2 linked regions of the Struthio camelus genome follow. The protein of the gene in region 1 purifies or fractionates together with the protein of each later gene. This does not show direct contact. Links are inferred from orthologs where the notes say so. Each region holds a gene or a part of one and is shown on either strand. Other genes may lie near its edges. The genes, in order: NELFB and NELFA.

The links.
Region 2: the proteins of NELFB (region 1) and NELFA purify together in Homo sapiens (affinity purification with mass spectrometry; 8 studies listed by BioGRID and IntAct, counting the BioPlex papers as one, with this or other methods). This does not show direct contact. The link is inferred for Struthio camelus from reciprocal best matches to the Homo sapiens genes NELFB and NELFA.

The regions. Positions count from the first base shown.
Region 1 is NC_090961.1:11,646,953-11,656,717, forward strand, and holds the start of NELFB (negative elongation factor B), read right to left. Parts: upstream 4,115-9,765; 5' UTR 3,757-4,114; coding exon 3,613-3,756; intron 2,678-3,612; coding exon of another isoform or gene 2,560-2,677; intron 337-2,559; coding exon of another isoform or gene 223-336; exon of another isoform or gene 1-222. Other genes in the region: ectonucleoside triphosphate diphosphohydrolase 2, read left to right, coding at 223-336, 2,560-2,677, 4,514-4,664, 5,431-5,590, 6,964-7,191, 8,399-8,671, 9,574-9,669. UniProt on the Homo sapiens protein: Essential component of the NELF complex, a complex that negatively regulates the elongation of transcription by RNA polymerase II.
Region 2 is NC_090945.1:77,948,465-77,957,443, forward strand, and holds the start of NELFA (negative elongation factor A), read left to right. Parts: upstream 1-5,028; 5' UTR 5,029-5,174; intron 5,175-5,460; exon of another isoform or gene 5,461-5,663; intron 5,664-5,910; 5' UTR 5,911-5,923; coding exon 5,924-6,175; intron 6,176-8,979. UniProt on the Homo sapiens protein: Essential component of the NELF complex, a complex that negatively regulates the elongation of transcription by RNA polymerase II.

The sequences.
Region 1 (9,765 bases):
TGTGGATAGTGGAAGGGAGAATTCCCTGACACATCACAGCTTGGCCCACGCGCTTTTCATGGTCCTGTGGCTTGGGGCTGGGCTGATGCCAAAGCTTGGCCTTGGCCCCGCCTTTCTCCTCTTTTTAAAGACTGTAAAAAGCAGTCACTGTCAGATGCAGACTTTGCATTTGCTGCTCCACTGCTTCCTCTTTGACTTTTCAGAAAAAGGAGAAAGTGCTTCATGTCTTGGCGCGAACTCCTTCCCCCCTGGCTGGTGATCGGAGCAGGACTGACGGGCATTGTGCTACTTTGTGTCTCCACTAAAGATGTGCCCACCACCCCTCTCAGGACCAAGGTAAGGTCATCTGTCTCAGGCAAGGTAGCCAACCCGGGGGTGAAGTGGGGCAATAAGCAGAGGACATTATCCTTGCCTAATTGGGTTTCTTCCTAAGGAAAAGCTGCCTGTTTCCTTGGGCTTATCCCTGGTGCAAGCCTGACATTTAAACAAAGAACTGTTGGGCTTTGTTGCTTTTTACATTCATTGCGCTACTGAGTGACTCTACCAGCCCAAATCAATAAACTGAGAAGAGGACTAGCACAAGACTGTGAGGATGGGTTAGTCTCCCTCAAAATGCTGTAGCTTTTCAAACCGAAAACAAAACATCCCATTTGATTTCAGCTGTTCAGTTGGTCAAGGAACGTACAGGCTGAATATCGTCCACTGATCAGCAGAGACCCTCACTGCAAGCTGAGTACAGGAGGTAGCCTGCTTCAGGAACTGCCCCAGAGCAGTAAGGGACCAGTGGTTCAAGTGGCCCTGAACTGCTTCGGTCCTTAAAAAAAAAAATCTATTATGCTTACTCCTTTTCCATCCCTTTTACTTTTGATTTTTATTGAAGAGCCAACCTGCTCTACGCAGCAGGTTCAGATCTGCCCAGTGATGCAGGGGTAAATCTCTATCTGCTTATGCCTCTTGATGCAAAACTGCTGAGGTGAGGTCAATTGCACGCTGTGGTTTACTTGAACAGAAATAGGTTAACCTATGATTTTAGAGATACTCCCCACCCACCATGCGCCGCTTAGAAACAGAACTGCATTTAAAAAGTCCTTATTGTTCCATGCTCTGCCAACCCAAAATAACATCAAGATCTGTGTTCTTCCCTGATGTTGATTTGTGGCATAAATGTGGTCTCCTCCTCCTTTTTGCTCCCAACGGCGGTCTCTCATTTTGTGAGGGAGAAAAAAATTCTGAATTTGCCCACCAAGATCATTCATTTCTTGCTCTTCTGCAGCAGCTGACATGCCCCTGCAAGAAATATGAGCTGTCACTTTTGTGGGAGGATGCCAGCAGGCTCAGGCGGGGAGCTACGTCCTCCTTCCACATTTCTGCTCAGGCTCCAGTCACACCACCTCCTGGCCTGGGAGCTGGAGTGCGTGCCTGGTGGAGCTGAGAGCGCTCACAGAGAGGAAGGAGGAAGCCAGTTTCATTTGGAGGCTGCAGCCAGGCTGTCTAGTGCTAAACCCTTCTGACTACGTTAACATCAACCTCTGAGGATGTTTCTCCTCCACTCAGTCACAGTTACAAATTTTGCTGTGCAAGATACAGCTTAGGTCATGCAGAACCACATACCTCCCAGATCTCCCAAGTTTCCTTTCTCTCTTTGTGGGAGAGTCCCAGTTTGGAGTCACGTAAAGGGAGTAGAAAGGGGAAAAGATCTCCTGAGAGGAGGGCCATTTTGAGAGCAAGGACTTCCGTTAACAGGCACCAAGTTATGCTGTGGGGTACTCTTGTGGCCTCTCATTTCCAAACCTGCACACTGGGCTGCAAAAAGCAAGAAAGTCCTCAGCCTCAGTGCTAGGCACGAGGGAGGGGTCACTCTCAGCAGATAAGGTGTTGAGAAATCTCATGCTGGCTGTTGCCAGTTTTGCTGAGACGTTATCTTGGTCTGTGTGGGATTGCTGTGTTGGACAGCATACATGCTGGTCTGCCCGAGTACACTGTGGCTCCAACAGATCTGGTATGCATCGAGGCAGAGCTAATCTGTGTCACACCATCTCTGCAGCAGGGCTCCAAACAGACATGCAAGTCTCTTGAGTTCCTCAGAAGCAAGAGCAAGCCACAGCCCTCTGCTTTCTCCCCAAATGCCTTGTCTCTTTAGCAAACCAATCCAGCAGCAGCTTGAGTCCCAGAGTTAGCAGAGAGCCTGTACAGTGCTGTCTTCCACCTACGTAGGACCTGTTTCTTCTGCGCTCCAGATGGCTCAGCTCTCAATGGAAACCCTTTGCACAGTTTCAGGAACAGCTACAGAGCATGTCCAGCAGCTGCCACTGTAGATATATATTTGTGGGCATTTCTCCACTCCTGCTGCTCCTCACATATATTCGGCAATGCAGATGGTTCACTGCAAATCCACATTATCTTCTGGCTTCACCCTTTCTTTGAATTAAAAAAGCTAACTCAAATACTGCAGTGTGGGCACATGGGTTACCCAGAACACTTGTGTAACGCTGAGTAACCCTGCAATAACAAACTGTGCATTCAGTGGTGTTTAGCTATAATGCTTTTGGGGTTTTCCAGTATGGCATTATTCTGGATGCTGGCCCATCCCACACCATCCTGTTCATCTACCAGTGGACTGCCAACAAAGCAAACAACACCGGGGTGATCAGGGAATGTAGCTCCTGTACTGTGCAAGGTAAGATGCCCGATTCATGTTTGGAAGGTCTATGGGATTGGCATGGGATGACTGGAAACCAAGAGAGCTGTGTATGGCCCATCTGTGCAGTTTTTGAGTCCTGTATCATCTAGCTGCAGACTGAGATGGTAGTGACAGTGAAGCGCAGGCTGTACATTTTCAGCACAGGCCTTCTCAACACGGGTAGGGCTAGATCAGAGGATTCTGCAGTAGCAGATGAAAGTTCTACTAGCCTGCTATGGGCAGGGAAGCACACAGAGGGGATGGCGCTGCGCTGATCTCCACATGGACCAGTGGCAGAACCAAGGTTGCTGAGCCTCTCACCCAAGGGACATGGTGAACAGCAATGGAGACAAGTCTGGCCACAGAGGGGGACTTCCTAGTAACCTTTTCCTCCTCCTGACTGTTATCTGGGCAGTAAGTGCTGCAGCTCCGCAACAGAGATGTGAAGCCTCCAATCCCCTCTGTGAGGTTTGGCTGCACAAGTGTGAGTTCAGGTTGACATGCCACAGCTGGTCCCCACAGTACTGTGGCAGGCTGTGGTTTTAGGTGTCAGGTTTTAGAGAATCTTGGGGTCTTCCTCGCTGGTTTGAGTCAGTTCACTCCTGCCAGAGCCAGCTAAACAGGGTTCATGCATTAATGCTTGGGGTTTTTCTTCCCTGTCTCACGATCTTGCTTTGATAGCGAAGCATGATTATAGCAGGATGCTGGGAAACCCTGAACTCTCAGTGTCACAGGGTGCTGGGAGAGGGCAGCCACACAGCAAGCAGAGAAGGGGGCTTGCGCTCTCCCAGACTGTAAACAATACCAGCCACATACAGATGATGTAATAACAGTTCCCTGAAACCTTGTATGTATCCTTCAACTGCTACCACTTAGTATCTTCACTTACTGTGTTAAAAATGACAATTTTACTTCAGTGTTTGAATACTTACGTGAACCTGCAGCAGAGTCATCAGCAGTGACAAAACGTCCAGGCAAGTCTTTTTCCCAGATGCAAGAAGCAGTCCTTGGTCTGTGTGGCAGTGCGGGCCAGCAGAGACCTGTGGTAATTGAAATGAAGCTGGAGGGGAAAGCATCGTAGGGCCTTAGACAGCAGACAAGGACTTAGGAACGGTGGTTCAAATTCCACTTTTGCTACAGTCTTTGAGTGGTCGTAGGCAATCTGCAGCTCTGTTCAGGGCCCAGGAGAGCAAGGTACGCGGTGAGGTAGTCATGCAGCCAGGAACACGAGTGGCCTGGAGGATAAGGAAGCAAGGCCTTCTATGGTTTGTAGTTCAAAAACATTTAAAACTCCCATTGACTCCTGCTGGAAGGATGAGTCAGGGCTTGCACACAGCTGCTCTCCATGCAGCACTAGCTTCCTTCAGAGCAGAGGTGGCCTGCTTGCAGGCATGCGGTTCAGCAGTCATGTCTACCAACACATGAGGAAGCAGCTGGAAGAGGAAGCTGATGCACAAGTCTCATTTCCGTGTCAGTGTGTCCTTTTGCTTATCTTTTACAGTGGTGAAAACCACACTTCTATGGGGTGAGACAGCCTCAGCTGTAAGAGCTGTCGCATAGCTGATACGTGGTCATCTATAGGATAACTTAGCAGCACAGCTAGAGTTCTCTTAGTGTGTGATTTAGGATTTACATTTATTTGCTGTTCTGTTCCCAATGCAGCGTTTTACCGGAATGGCTACTAGTCCACTGAAATAACTGCTTTGTTCTGGCTATGACAAAGATGGGACGTCTTTGCTGTCCTTCAGGGCATGCTTAATCTCTTTGGCAACTGCTCTCACCTTTCTCCCACATCTTCACACAGGATATTTCATTCTTTCCTCTGATCCATAGGTCCCGGAGTCTCCAGCTACTCCGTTTCTCCTCAGGAAGTAGGGAAGAATTTGGAGCCATGCTTACACTGGGCCCAGAGAGAGATCCCAGCAGAGCAGCACAGCCAAACCCCCCTCTACTTGGGAGCAACTGCCAGCATGAGGCAGCTGAAGTGAGTGAATGTTGCAAACCCACATGCAGAGATCAGCACACATCATGTGGATCACTGTAAATGAATCTCACCCTGTCTGCTCTGCAGCATGTTTCATCCCCAATCCATTGGTCAGGTAAACCTTTCTCAGCTCCCTGTGCATTCAAGGGGAGTACAGCACAGCTGTGTGTCCATACCATCCCCCTGCAAACAGCCATGAGGATGATAGGCTTGCTATTGCTACCAATCTGTGTAAAGTCCCTTTCCCAACTAGGGCTGGGGACAACATCTGTCTGTTTGGAAGCTGAAGTGTTTTCAGTTTATGTGGCAAGCTGCATGGGTTTGCAGTGGTGGTTCTTGTCAGCAGGCTGGGAGCTGCGGTGGGAAGCTCTACTTTATCCTACATACTTATTTGGACCCTGTTCTCAATTACCTTGTTACCAGGACCTCTCCACCTCCTTTTAGACACTGGGGAAAAATAAGGTCTGGAGGTGCCAGGTCAGTGGAGCACAGCCACAGGATCCTGCAGTGGCAGAGAGATCTGAACTCAAGGCTCCCCAATGGCAGCCCAGCTGCTCAATCACCTTTCCATATTTTTGTTGCCCAGGCTGTGCTTGCCCCCAGTGCAGTATGAGGGGAGGGGGAAGAGGCAGTGGGAGCAGGCTTTTCATTGTGTCTCCCTGAACTCTTACCCAAAGTGGGGAACACGGCACAAGTCCTGCTGCTGCACCCACTGCAGGCTGCTCCTGGTGGAGCCCTGTAACAAATGTGCTTCTTTTCTGTCTAGCCTTACCAATCCCACCCTCTCTGACGCTCTTCTTGCGGCCCTGACTGTAGCCCTCAAGTCATCCCCCTTCGACTTTTGGGGGGCACAAATCCTGTCCAGCCTGGATGAGGAAGCATTCAACTGGGTTGCTGTTAATTACGTCCTGGAGAACTTTGTCAAGGTAAAGGGAGATCCCGCCCTGGGGAGTACAGACCTGAGCTGAGGGACTCCCGTTATCAAACAGCAAGGGACTCCCGTTATCAAACGGCAACAGAGATATGTGGAGGGATTGTTATAGCTCTGCACTTCGAACAAAACGTAAGCAGAGCTTCCACTGACTTTCAAAGAAGGCAGGTTATATCATCTCCATCATGGTGGACCTGAGATAACATGGTTAAAACTGGGTTGAAGTACCAAACCTCTAATATAGGTTATGTTCATGGATATGCTCATGCTGTTGTTGTAACTGATCTGAGGTTTTCTGGACAACACATCTGGGACGTTCAAACACAGATAACCTTACATAGCCTGGCCCTAGTGCATAAAGCAAGAACATTGTTGCCCCAAGCCATTCAGTTCTAGCTCAGAACCACTGTGAAACAGACATTGCTGCTATGTCTGCAGGGATGGCATGGGAATGTCACCAAAGTCCAGCTGGCCCAAAGGACATCCTGTGAACGGTGGACACAAGAGTCTTTGGCTGCCAAAGCAAAAGCCCTCAAACTTTCCTCTCATTGAGACAGTGATGAGACAGCGTCCCCAGCTTAGGGTCCTGGTCTGTATTCAGGAGCTCACTAAAGAAAAAGACATGTAATTTTCTTTGCTCCATCCATAGTTTCTCAAGGCAAAAGGTCTCAAGAAGGTCTCAAAGTGCCAGATAAAGGAGGGTTAGACAACAGCAGCTCCACAGCAGCGGATTAAAAGGCAGTTCTGATAACAAGCAGCAAATGTGCATCAGTCAGGCAATTGCTAGCACCGCTGGCAACAGCACAGCCCACCCAGGCCGTGGGCAGAGTATTTACATCTGCAGTCAGTAAAAGCTTTCCTGCATAAGCTTTCCTGCCTCTACTGTTAACTTCAGCATTGCCAAAATCAGTTCTGCAGGACTGTGGGACATGAAACCACAGGGTTCTTCTGACAGGAGGATCACTTTGGCATTAGGCAGCACCTGAAGCCCATATCTACCCACCTGGCAGCCTTCCTCCCGGCTCCCCCTATCCTCTCCTCTTTCCCCTGTTCCTACCTACAGAGACCGCTGCCTTGAACAGCCCACTGAGGTGGTGAAATCTACTGTTTGCTCTCACTGGCTGTGGTGAGCTCTCTGTGCAAATGGCAGTGCTTATACAGTGGCTCTCCCCTCTGCTCCCTCTGAAGCCATCAGTTCAGCATCTTCGTGCCCTGTGGGGAAATAAGAGTTGGGCTGTACTGCACCAGAAAGCTGCTCTCTCTCTCTCTCTCTCTCTCTCTCTCTGTGCAGTAATGCTTGTATCTGACTGACCATGACTCAGATGCAAAAGTCTTAAGAACCGACCTCTCTGTTTCTCTTTGGGTCAGTATGACTGGCGAGGACAGGTGATCCCCTCCATGAAGGGGACAGCAGGAGTCCTGTCCTTAGGAGGAACCTCAGCACAGCTCATTTCCAAGATGGAAGAAAAGAACCAGGCACCAAAAGGAGGAGTGAGGCTGCAGCTGTACGGGCAAACACACAAGGTGTATGCTTACCAGTGCCCCTGCCACAGCACAGACCAGCTCCGCAGCAGGCTGCTCTCCATGCTCATACGAGTGAGTATCTGCTGCTGGCATTTGCAAGTTTCCTAGATACAATGTCCATCCCCTGTACCAAATGACAGTAGCATAAGGCAAGAGCTAGTGTAGCTGGTAATAGGTGAAACATCAGTGACCATCTTTAATTGAGGGTGTTTGTATGCATCTAAAAGCCCAATGCCTCAGACAGTCTCCATGCCTGAATCGATGTCCTCTAAGTATATACAAAGGCAACCATTCCAGTTTCTTATTTGCAGGCTCTATTTGGCTTCCTATTTAAGGCACACGAGCACAAAATTGCTCTCCAGAGGTGCTAAGACCACCTTCATAGTAGAGAGGGGCAAACACTTCCCTTGGCTTCTCTGAACTGCTCCTCCATTCTACAAGGGGAGCCTAAAAAGCAACACCTGGGAACCAGCTGGGACCTTTTTTCCCAACTTTAACTTTGACATAGTCTAAAATAGTAATATTCAATTTTGAAAACACACAGGTGTTTCAATTCTTCCGAATTTTATTTCATTGGGTGGAGGGGGAGGGGGTGGTAGAGGGTTGACTGGATCTGATACAAAGTCATGAATGGTTTTGGTCCCCACGAAAATTGAATTGTTCAAAAATGAACTCATAAATGAATTCATCCTCAGTTGGCTCCCCCTAAACACGCTCCAGCCACACCTTTCTCTAGGGAACAGCCCCTTATCTGAGACTCATATGGAGACCCACCTCATGATTATATTACAGGGAATCCCTAAGGACGAGAAATGCTAACTCTTGAGGGGTTCCCTGTGACCTGCATGGCTCTATGGGCAAAGAGCTGCTCGGGAAGAGGGGATTAGTAATCTGCACACCACCTGGGTCACCCTAGCTACCAGGGAGCATGAGGGCTGGAGCATCATAAAACACTGAATTCCCCAGGAATTCCTACATGCTCAACTTCTCATCCTCCAACAGCAGGCTCAGTCATTGCAGGCTGCCTTGAACTCAGCGGGAGCTGGGACCATGCTGTACCAGAGGTCTAGGCTTTGCAGCTGAATAGTTTAGATAAGGTTTTTGCAAGCCTTTTGCAACCTGCCTGCTCAATTATGACATTGTCACATCAGGAGAAAAAGCAAACAAAATAACTTCTGTTTTTCATTGTGTTATATTTCATTTTCTTTTATAAAGCCTTGAGCAGTTCTCTTGGGTCTCCTCTCTTGCTACCTGTCCCCATTTTTTTCTGCCCCTCTAGGATCAGAGAAATGTGAAAACTATATATAACCCCTGCTGGCCCCTCACTTACTCCCAGGAAGTGCAATGGCGTTCAGTGCATGCTGGGCCCTGTGCTATCAGTGATGACACATTGGGAACCCCCAGCCCTGAGGAGGTGTTCAATGTCACCGGCTCCAGCAATTCTACTGCTTGCAGGAGACTCGTGCAAAGTCTGCTCAACTCTTCTGCTTCCTGCAGCTTCTTCAAGCATTCCCTCAGCAGTGTTTTCAAGCGTCCCTGGACCAAGTTTCTGGTGGGTTCTCATTTATACTGGGGTAAGCAATTGGCATGAAGAGCCCATGAAACTGGACCAATTTGATCATTAATAAACATAGTGGGACCAGCCGTTCTGTACTCTCTGCTAGCCAGGAGTGCCAGTACTCTGGCTAGTGCTGAATACAGTGCTGATGCTGTAGACATGCAATCCTGCCCTCTCCCCTTCCTCAGCACACAGCTGTTCGAATGGGCACCCAGGCTTTCCACCAATAACTGTGGTACAACACTGATCCCACGCGTCAGCAGCGTCTCTTTGCGAGAGGAGGTTTGGGGCACTGCAGAGCCATAATGGAGCTCATGTGAGCCAGCAGGGTCAGAGCAGGCAGGAGTTCTGCCCTGAGCATCTCTTCCCATGTCAAGTCTGTGGTGAAGCTAAAGACCCTCTGTCCCTTTCTGAGTAAACATCTGAGGATGCTCTACCACAAGTGTCCTTATGTCCTTGAAATGCTGGATCTAGTGTTCAAAGTCATTGGGATGTTAAGCCAGGACCTGCTCAAGATGCTAGGGCACACTGAGCACATTTCAGAGAAGGGCTGTGGAGGAAGGGATTACAGAAATCACCAGTTTCCTGTTGCCAGTAGCCTCCCATGGATATGGTACCAAGGAGCATAAGGACTAGCCTACTGCACATCCAGAGCAAGGAAGGTTGCTATATTGAAGCTAGAATCTCAAGCTAGTCCAGTTTCCATCTTCAGACAGTAACAGCTCCTGTTTGTTTTCCCAGTGCCCATCAGAAGCACTGTAACCACCAAACAGATAAGTAGAAAGGACATCCTGGAAATGTGCCCAATGGCTATTGCCACCTACTTTCCCTTACACACTATATGGAAGCATGCCTGGCGCGATCCAACCTGATGATTATTTCTGCTGCTGTTATAGGTGATTTCTGAGGCCCTGGACTTCCTGAGAGAGACTGTACCCTCTCCTGACTTGGGTCAGGCAGTCAACAAGCTTTGTGGGATGTCTGTCAAAGAGGTAAATGTGGAATAACTTAGTGTGCACAGATAGAGTAGAGCAACAAACAGCCCAGCTGTAAAAGCTCATGTGTCTCAGGCCGTAAGTTGCTGACCC
Region 2 (8,979 bases), on another chromosome or scaffold:
CTCCTCTCTATCACACTGACTAGTTGCTCCTACAGCCTGATTCATTGGTGTTCTGGCTTCTGATGCACTCCCACAGACACGTACAAAGAGCAGACCTATGCCTGCACAGCCAAGCTTTAAGCTTCAGTGTGGTACAGTACTCAGGTTCTGGTTTCATTGTCCCAGAAAAAGGAGAACATGCCGTCCCACTGGAATTCTGCCCAACATGCTGCACAAATACGTAAGCAGGTATCAACAAATGAAGGAAACGATTAGAACATAAGCAAATACTGCAATAAGTGATCTCTATTTTAATAAGTGTAAGAAACACATCAGCAGGAACTCTGGAAAGTTCACGGCATCTGCAGCTACCACTAAAAGCAGGAAACTGTGTCTGTGAGAGTTACGAGCTTGTAAATTCACCTACCTGTGTTATGCACCTCTCCCAACGTTGATGCTGACCGGGATCCAGAGCAAGCAGAGGAGGACTGTGAAATCCAGGTTCTCCACTGACTCCTAGGTCTGGAAAGGGTTTCAGCCCTGCATCTCTAAATCTCCTAAATCACACCCAGAAGACCCAGCTGTATCACACGTAGACTCAAACAGTGCAACAGGATATGTATGATACAATACAGCTTTATGGTAAGACTTAAATAACGTAATTCTTGTCAGGCTGTAAGAGTGTGTCCTTCCTTTTTCTGCCTCCTGGGCTTTTGAGCCTTTCTCCTACTGCTCAATATGGGACCAATGCGAAAGCATTTACAAGCTTTCAGTCCTCTTTACTCTTTCTCCCTGTGCTGATGCTGTGGCCCATATGGTTCAACGTCTTGATCAGAGGCCTGGACAATGACACAGAACATTTCCTTAGCAAGTTTTAAGGACACCAAGTTAGGGAGAGCGGCTGACACGATGAACAGCAGAACTTTATTCAGAGATACCTCAATAGATTTCAGGATTAGGCCAACAGAAACCTCACAAAGTTCAATAAGGCAGAACAACCTCAAATCAAAGCAGTCCGTACAAATAAAGTCCTGGCAACTCTAGGAACGGACACACTAACACCACGCTGATGAGCTACTGATAGTGACAACTGAGGATGTGGAAAAATTAGGTTTCCAAACAGAGAAGGCTGCGTTTCCTCAAGGATGGGAGCTGCACATAAATATGCCACTGTTGCAGCTCTGCAGAGGCTTCAAGGAAATTATCACTGCTGATAATCTTCAATTATCAGGCCTCATTAGCCACTACCACGTCAGGGCCTACGAGTGGCAGTGTATGAAGTGAAACTGTTCTAGAACAAGATTTAAAGCAAACGACCACTTGATTTCCACCTCTCAAGGGCTGTCTTCATGGGCCTTTATCATCCTAGGTTTTAAGTCCTACACCATTTTGAAGTTTATTTAAAAAAAAAAAGAAAAAACATAGAATTGTGTAGCTGAAGTCCTAAGTAAGAGGGTGGGACGGTAATGTAAACATAATCCTAGACATAGGTAACCAGATGATAAACCCTTGCAGTAGCTTGCATCATGTCACATAAATTCACAAGAGAGGAACTAGCCGGTAAACTTTTCATAGCTACGAAAGTACTTTTATTTTTATTTCTGATAGAATAGAGCCATATCCGTTTCAAAAGACTTTGCCTAGCAGGAAAGGTAACTGGTTGTGTCACAGCAGATGCAAGAGGTTACCACAAGTAAGCTGAGCACTTGACTTGAGGAAGTCAAATAATCTGTTTTTGATGGAGTAAATTCTGAGAGTCACCTTTCAGATCCCACTGCTACAGCAAAGAGTTTTAAGACACGTCAAATAAACTCAATTTTGAATGACTGGTTAGCTTAAAAGTGCAGGAAAGAAAGACAGAGGTTTTGATTTTGTTTGTGTGTAGGGAAAAGGCCACCAAAAAGCAATACACACCCTTGTATTTAACAAGTAAAATCTGCTGAGATCACTCAGACAAAAGGAAAATGCAGAAACTTATAAAAAGCAGAGTTTAATGAACTGAATGAAAATAAAAATGGTAATAAATACCATTTTATGGAACCAAGTGCAGCTTAATGATAATTTAATTTATATGTAAAGAAAGTAATACAGTGTTTCCTTAAGACGGTGTGCACCTGAAACACACTGACAGAATACCTCTGTCGCTGGCTGCCATAAAGGATAGTAGCCTGACTGTCAGTCACTCTGTTAGCTCCAGTGACAGACTGAAAGGTCTTAACTATGCAGAAAACTTAGGCGTCAACCTGATACCACATGATAAAATTTGTCTTCTTATTATGCTTCTAAAACTTAAAAAAATGCACTTTAAACAAAGTATGGAAGCATTGAATGTATTAAACGTTTGCAGTGTTCAGATCGCCAGAGTTGCACAAAGGGGAAATAACGTAGCACGCTAAAGTAGCATTACATGTAAAGTAGCATTACAAACCTAATTAGAGTTTTTAAAAGCTCAGTTATTCAGTCTTAATGGAATCCTTTTAATAGTGCGTGGGGGTTTGGGTGTACTATATAGTACTATGCTATACAGCCAACTGCTTTGTCTACCTTCTCGGGTCAGTCCCTGTCATCACAGTATGAATCATAATCTGAAGCACTGCTGGCTCAGAAACTGTCACAGTTGCAACCGCAGGATGCCAATGGGAACTTAGTGCCACTGCTAATGCTAATGATATGTTTATTGCACACGCTTCAGTGCTTTCTAAAACACAGTAAAAGCTGCTGCTTCCCAACTGAGAACTCAATGCCAGCACCGCTCTGAACCCTCTGCCCGTCAGCGTTCCACTCCTCGATTTGGGTGCCCAGCTGAGATGTGCTGTTGCTTCCCCTAAAATAGGAAACTTCTAGGCATTATCCCTGTAACTTCCTTCTGAATATACACAGCTATTCTGAGTCTGATAGCTAACACAGCAGGCTGCCCTCACTGATGCAGCACTAGTTCATCCCAGCATATATATTTTTGGACAGGCAGTGAGAAAAACAGCAGGTCCGGAAATCCCTGGAGCACGGATTTTGGTATGAGGTAAAGAGTTACCTTTCTTGAAACAAATATAAAGTGGATTGGAAGACGTGACTCTTTGGCTGTATCTGCTTTTATGTGAACACCGTCACAATTGGGGAAGTGAATCTAGATTGTCTCCCTGCGATCTGTCTCATAGCATGCTCTTAATATTTCTCAACAATTTAATATCCAGTATTACAAACTTTGAATCAGGGACTTGCAACTCAGAGGAGAAAATATCTGCGGACAGTTATCTGCGTAACCCAACGTTATGTGGGATATCAAGCACTTTCAGAGAACTCAAGTATACTCCATTAACCTACAGGTTCGTGCATCCATGAGGAATGAGCACTTTGGTATTTGCCATATTACTCTGAAAATCACTACCCACACTAGACAAAATCTAACTGAAAAATAAATAAAGCTTTATTATATTCAAACAGAAAGTTAATCTACTAGTTACCAGACAGGACAAAACCATGATCTTATAACTAGCTGGCGTTTTGTCTTAATCTCCCTAAGCTCTGCATGCCCACTCAAGTCAGCAGCTGACAAGCACAGATTTGCAGGTGGTAGGACTGGAGCCACGTTTGCTATATAAAACCTTATATTCCAGATACACCTCAGAGAATAGACTCTCTTTTGGGGGTCACCCTTCAGCTAAGAAAATAAAAATAATTACACCAGAACAGACTAAATGGCCACGCTGCCCACTGCTTTCACCCTTGACAGTGGGCAAAAATAGACGCCCCAAGGGAGCATGTAACAAAGAAAGTATGTAAAAAGTACTCCCTTACCTTCCATCAGTGTGCAGCTTTGGCATCACCTGAGCAAGACGGTACCTAATCCCATACAAAGTCTACCAGAACAAAGTTACCTTTTCAGGAAATGGTCCGTCTATATGAGCTGGTAGAGAGAGGATGTACAATTCTACTTGTGGCACTGTGGTGCTGTAGAGTATTTATCAGCTCTGATGCCTAAAAAACACTTATACCAGCTCTCGGAAACAGTTTAATTCTGTGTGTTAGCTACCGCCTGAACACAATTAGCTGCAAAAACTACAGGGTATTCTGTGATTTGCTTTCTCCAGCCCACCTCCAATAGGAGTTGGTTAGTTTTCTCTTCACGTTTGAAGTTTTCATTGCTTAGCTAATTTTTTTCTAGTTGCAGTATCCCATGGAATATACATTTTCAGAGGTAGAAAACAGAATCAAAGGTGAGACACTGAGATTATGCCTCACCAGCCGATTTGGGGGATTCTGTCACAATTGTGCCACTTAACACTTTTTACTTTCACAACACTTTAGCAGAGTCCATAACCTTCTGAAAACTAGACCTAATTCTGTCAGAGGCTCTATAACGTACAGGAATATACACTCTGCACTTTGGGTAATCTACAATCGGAAACTCTCTCTCCTACCAAGAAGCAAATAGTTCCAATGAACTCTGTGGGATGTCGCACTGCAGTTAGGCACATGCTTAGCTTAAGTCTTAGCAAGGTTGGTGCCTACTTTAAACAACTGGGTATGATTGGCGAAAGCAAAGTTCTGGAGTTGGCAACAAGAATGTAGTAATTACTCCTCAAAACAGTGTTGAAGAGTCAATGTAAAGCTCCTCAGCACCAACTGCTCAGCTCGACAGGTTGTAAACAACCTCCTGATGTAGGAAGAAAGTTGTGAAGAAAACGTTTTCCTTCAAAAGCTTAAAACAGAGAAAGAGAACAAGTGAATGCGCTAGGCACTCCTACCACAGCTCTTGTGCTTTCATTTCAATGAGCAAAGACACTAAAATGAACTCTTTATGCTGTACCTGAAGAACTTGAAATCTTCTGAGATTTAGGTAACTGATTAATTTTTCATATTTAAATAACAATGAGCTGAATCACGAGGGAATGAGCATATGCACAATAACCCCTAAATTTCAGAGTACCTACTGCTAGCATTACAGGCGCAGCGGCAACTTCCTAAATCTCAGCAGCACCCAGCCCAGAAGTCCCTGGGGGAAAACGATGAGAAGGGCAGTTAGCTCTATTTTGGTCAAATCATAGCGTTACACAGAGATTTCATCATCCACCACCGTGCTGGCAAGCTCTGCGGGGTGGTTTCAGGCGGGAGGAAAGCCAGGGGCACACGGAGGAGCAGGAGAGGAGGCACCCCGCACGCAGAGGTGGGTGCACCTCAAGGCGCCATTAGCTGCAGTAAGCAACCCACTCTGCTGGCAGGAAAAGTGAAAAAGGGGGAGCGGGGTGGACACGCTTTTTCAACACAGGCCCTGAGGGCGCTGAGGGGGCCCCAGCGGCTGCCGCCGGGGAGCCAGGCTGCGAGCCCGGGGGGGGGGGGGGGGGGAACCGGGCCTGAGGGAAGGAGACGTGGTGCCACCGGCAGCTGTGCCAACCCCGCGGAGCGGCCCAGCCCTCCCCTCCGAGGAGGAGGCAGGGCGGCCGAGCGGGGCCCTCGGCCCTTCTCCCGGCGCCGCCAACGGCCGCGCGGGGCCAAGCAGGCGGCTCGGCGGGCGGGCGCCCTCCGAGGAGAGGGGCGGGGCCTGGCCTCCGCCTCGCAGCTGTTCCGCCCGGCTCCGCGGCTGGCCGGGCGCCCCAGTCCCGCTCCGCGGCCGAGGGGAGTCTTGGAGGAGTTAGGGCAGGGCGTCGGGAGCAGCAAGCTGGAGCTGACAGAGAAGCTGCCCCATGGTGAGGTTACGCCATCTTGCGATACGGCGGCGGGGGGGGGGGGGATGGCGGGCGCCATTTTGCATCTGAGCGAGACACGAGAAGAGCCTTGGTGGTTTTCTCTGTGTGGGCGCCGCCATTTTAGGTTACGGAAGAATCTCCGCCTTCCCTAGAGCGAGGTTCCCTTGCAGGGCGCCGCCATTTTGGGTTACGAACGAGACGGCGACCCGCAGGGGTCCTCACTCCCCCTCCCCCTTCCTCCCTTTAGGTGTCTTCATAAAATGCCCGTGGAGAATCCCCTCTTTTTTCGCCCCGCTCCCAAGATGGCGTCGATGCGGGAGAGCGACACTGGCCTGTGGCTGCACAACAAGCTGGGCTCCACAGACGAGCTGTGGGCGCCGCCGAGCATTGCCTCGCTGCTCACGGCTTCGGTGATCGACAACATCCGCCTCTGTTTCCACGGCCTCTCCTCGGCCGTCAAGCTCAAGCTGCTCCTGGGGATGCTGCACCTGCCCCGCCGGGCAGTGGATGAGGTGAGGGCTGTGGGTAGGACGTTGCGCGGGAAGCTTAACCGAAACGGAGTGTGGGGGGGGGGGGCGAGGAGTCGGAGATGGCGTGAGGGGAGAAGGAGGGGGGCACCACCTCCCTCCCCCTCCTTTAAATGGAGTCGGTGGCGCCGGGGCGCGCTGCCGCCCGCCTCCCCCCCCCCCCCCCCCCAACGGCGCGCGACGAGCCGTTAGCGCGGCCGCGCCGCCCCTGAGGGGGAGCCCGGCAGCGGCCGCTTCCCCAGGGCGGGTGGGAAGTAATTACCGCCTTCCCCACGGGTATCCCCGCTCCTTCCTGGCAGTTTTGTTTATTTTTTTGTTCCCCCCCCTCTGTAGTGCGGTGCGTTGAGGCCCTGCTTGGAGGCTGGGCCCTCAAAAAGGTGCTCAGGTTTCTCCCCCCCCCGGTTAACGGGAGTGGAGTGGCGGCGTCGCTGCTGCTCCTCTTCCTGCTCGTGAGGGAATCTGTGGTTGGCGCTAGACTTCTCGAAAGCAGGGCTCGGGTTTCAACCTGAAACCTTTCTTAACGTGTCCAAGCAGACTTGTAGCTTTAGGACTATATTTTGCTAGAGTTTGGGGACTTCTGGTGCCTCTTTGGGGAGGGGGGAGGGCTTCTCTGAGCCAATGCTTGCTCTAGGTTTAGGCCCCAGAGGGAAGATTGGCCTCCAACAATAACGTGGAGAAGATCTCATTTGCTTTCTTTAATACTGGCAGCTGTGTGGATATCCACAGGCGAGTATCTCGGATTTAGGAAGGACAGCAGCAAGTGCTGAAACTTTGGGAATGGAAGATCTGGGGTTTGCACTGAGCAGTGTTTTCCCCACCTTCTTGTAGTCAGGACTTATTGGAGAAAATTGCTGTGGATTTTTGCCTCCCCTTACCTTTCTAGGAAGTACTTGTTCTTTCCTTTACTGCCGTGACCCCAGCTAATAATCTGGCTGGCCGGATTTGGATCTGACTTTGCATGGAGTCAGCATAAATCCAGCAGAGTTTATTCGCTTGGCTCTGGACCGTGTGTCATCTGCCGTTGCCTTGTTCTTACCAGTAGGCAGATACAGATATTTGGGGTAATAATTGGAGAAGGATTGGGAAACATTGAGTTTCTTCAGCCAGGTTGGAGGAACTCCTGTTCTTTTATCCAGCATGTGTGGTGCTGGTTTCTGATAACAGTTTTGGAGATAGTGAGTGGTTTGGGCTTCAGCTTTTTGTGTACAGTATCCTCAGTTGTGCTTGTAGCAGTCCCTTTCATGGGTAGGTTGTGCCTCTGTTGCTTACGCTTAATAGAAGTATATACTAGACATAGTGTAGGGAGACTGTGCATAGTTCAGATTATTGTATGCTTTACTTCTGTGCACTTCTAAGCTTAAAATGCAAAAGCATTGCTTCCAAGCAGTAGGTTAGTGTATGCCAGGATCTGTCTTGCCAGATATATCTCTATGGTTGTTACTCTGTTACGCGTAACTGCAGTTGCTTTTAAAAAGACACTTTTTGCTCAGCATATGCTTCCTCTGTTTTTAAAACATGTTTATGCCTTGTGCCTGTCCAGTGCACAAGCATTCTTATTTGGGCGAGACAAATGCAGTTTTGCTTTTTAGTTTTCTACAAACAAAATAACCAAGGCTGGAAAGGGGGGTAGGGAACGACCCCTCAGTTCCCACAAACTCTAAGTATGTAAAATTCTTCTCAAGTGCTGTGAAAATCCACATAGCTTGGAAGAAGAGTCTTGCAGTATTTGGTGAAAGTTAACAAACTAGTGGTGTTTTTAGGCCTAAGAGAAGGGAATTTTAAAAAAGCTTAGGGTCCTTCATAAGTAGTACTCAATGCCAGCTCTATGGTGAGGGAGCAGCAGTTCAAGTCAACTAAAACACTTGGTTGAAATGCTGCAGGAGCGCTCACTGGACTTGCACTAAACCTAATTTTTGTTGTTATTTGTTTAAGACTAATTCAAATCAAGGAAGATGGCAGCAGGCCACTTACTTAATCTGTGCTTTTGTTAGCTGTGGAGATGAAGTGTCATGTGAAGAAGAGCAAGCTGGTTTCTGTGCCCTTTAATGTGTTGTTAAAGTGATCAGTTGTGTTCCAAATGTAAACACTTTTACTGCTATTGCTAGAACAAAAAAAGAGTGTTGTGGGATTTTTCAGTTCTCTGGTAGAGTTGAAGTCAGTCATAAATCCAGTCTTTTAGCTGTAAACAGAGCATGCTTGTTCTAGAGCTAGGGTTTTGCTCTCTTTCCCAGTCCTTTGCAAAGTACCTTAAATTTATTTAAATTATTTCAAGGACTTTTTTTTTTTTGAACTTTCCTCTCAGTGAAGACGTTCTTGTTAAATTAAGAAAATGATGAGGTAGAAACCTTTAACCTTGCTAACAAGTCTGATTTATTTCGTTATAGACTGATTTCATTATAGATTTCCTTCTATACGTGGTAAAAACTGCCAGTGTAACAAAACTGCTAGCTAAAGGGAACGTTGTCTTCTCAAATATTCATCTTGTGAATTTGCTAAAACAAGGTTGTGTTTATCAAGGTTTGTTACATAGCTTGTTCTCGTGGTTTGGGATACTCTAACTGGTATTGGATATTTGACACATTTATTAACCATAAAGTTGCTAAGTGTTTTGTACTAGTGTTCAGTTCTGTATATACACACACACTCTATATATGTGTGGGTTCTCTTCCTCTCCCTCGTGCTCTGTGCTTCTATGCAGTATTCTCTGCACTATATATTATACAGTGCTGGACATAGTCTTTTTGCTAGCAGAAGTACGCCAATATAGAGTACCTATGGCTATCTGGAAA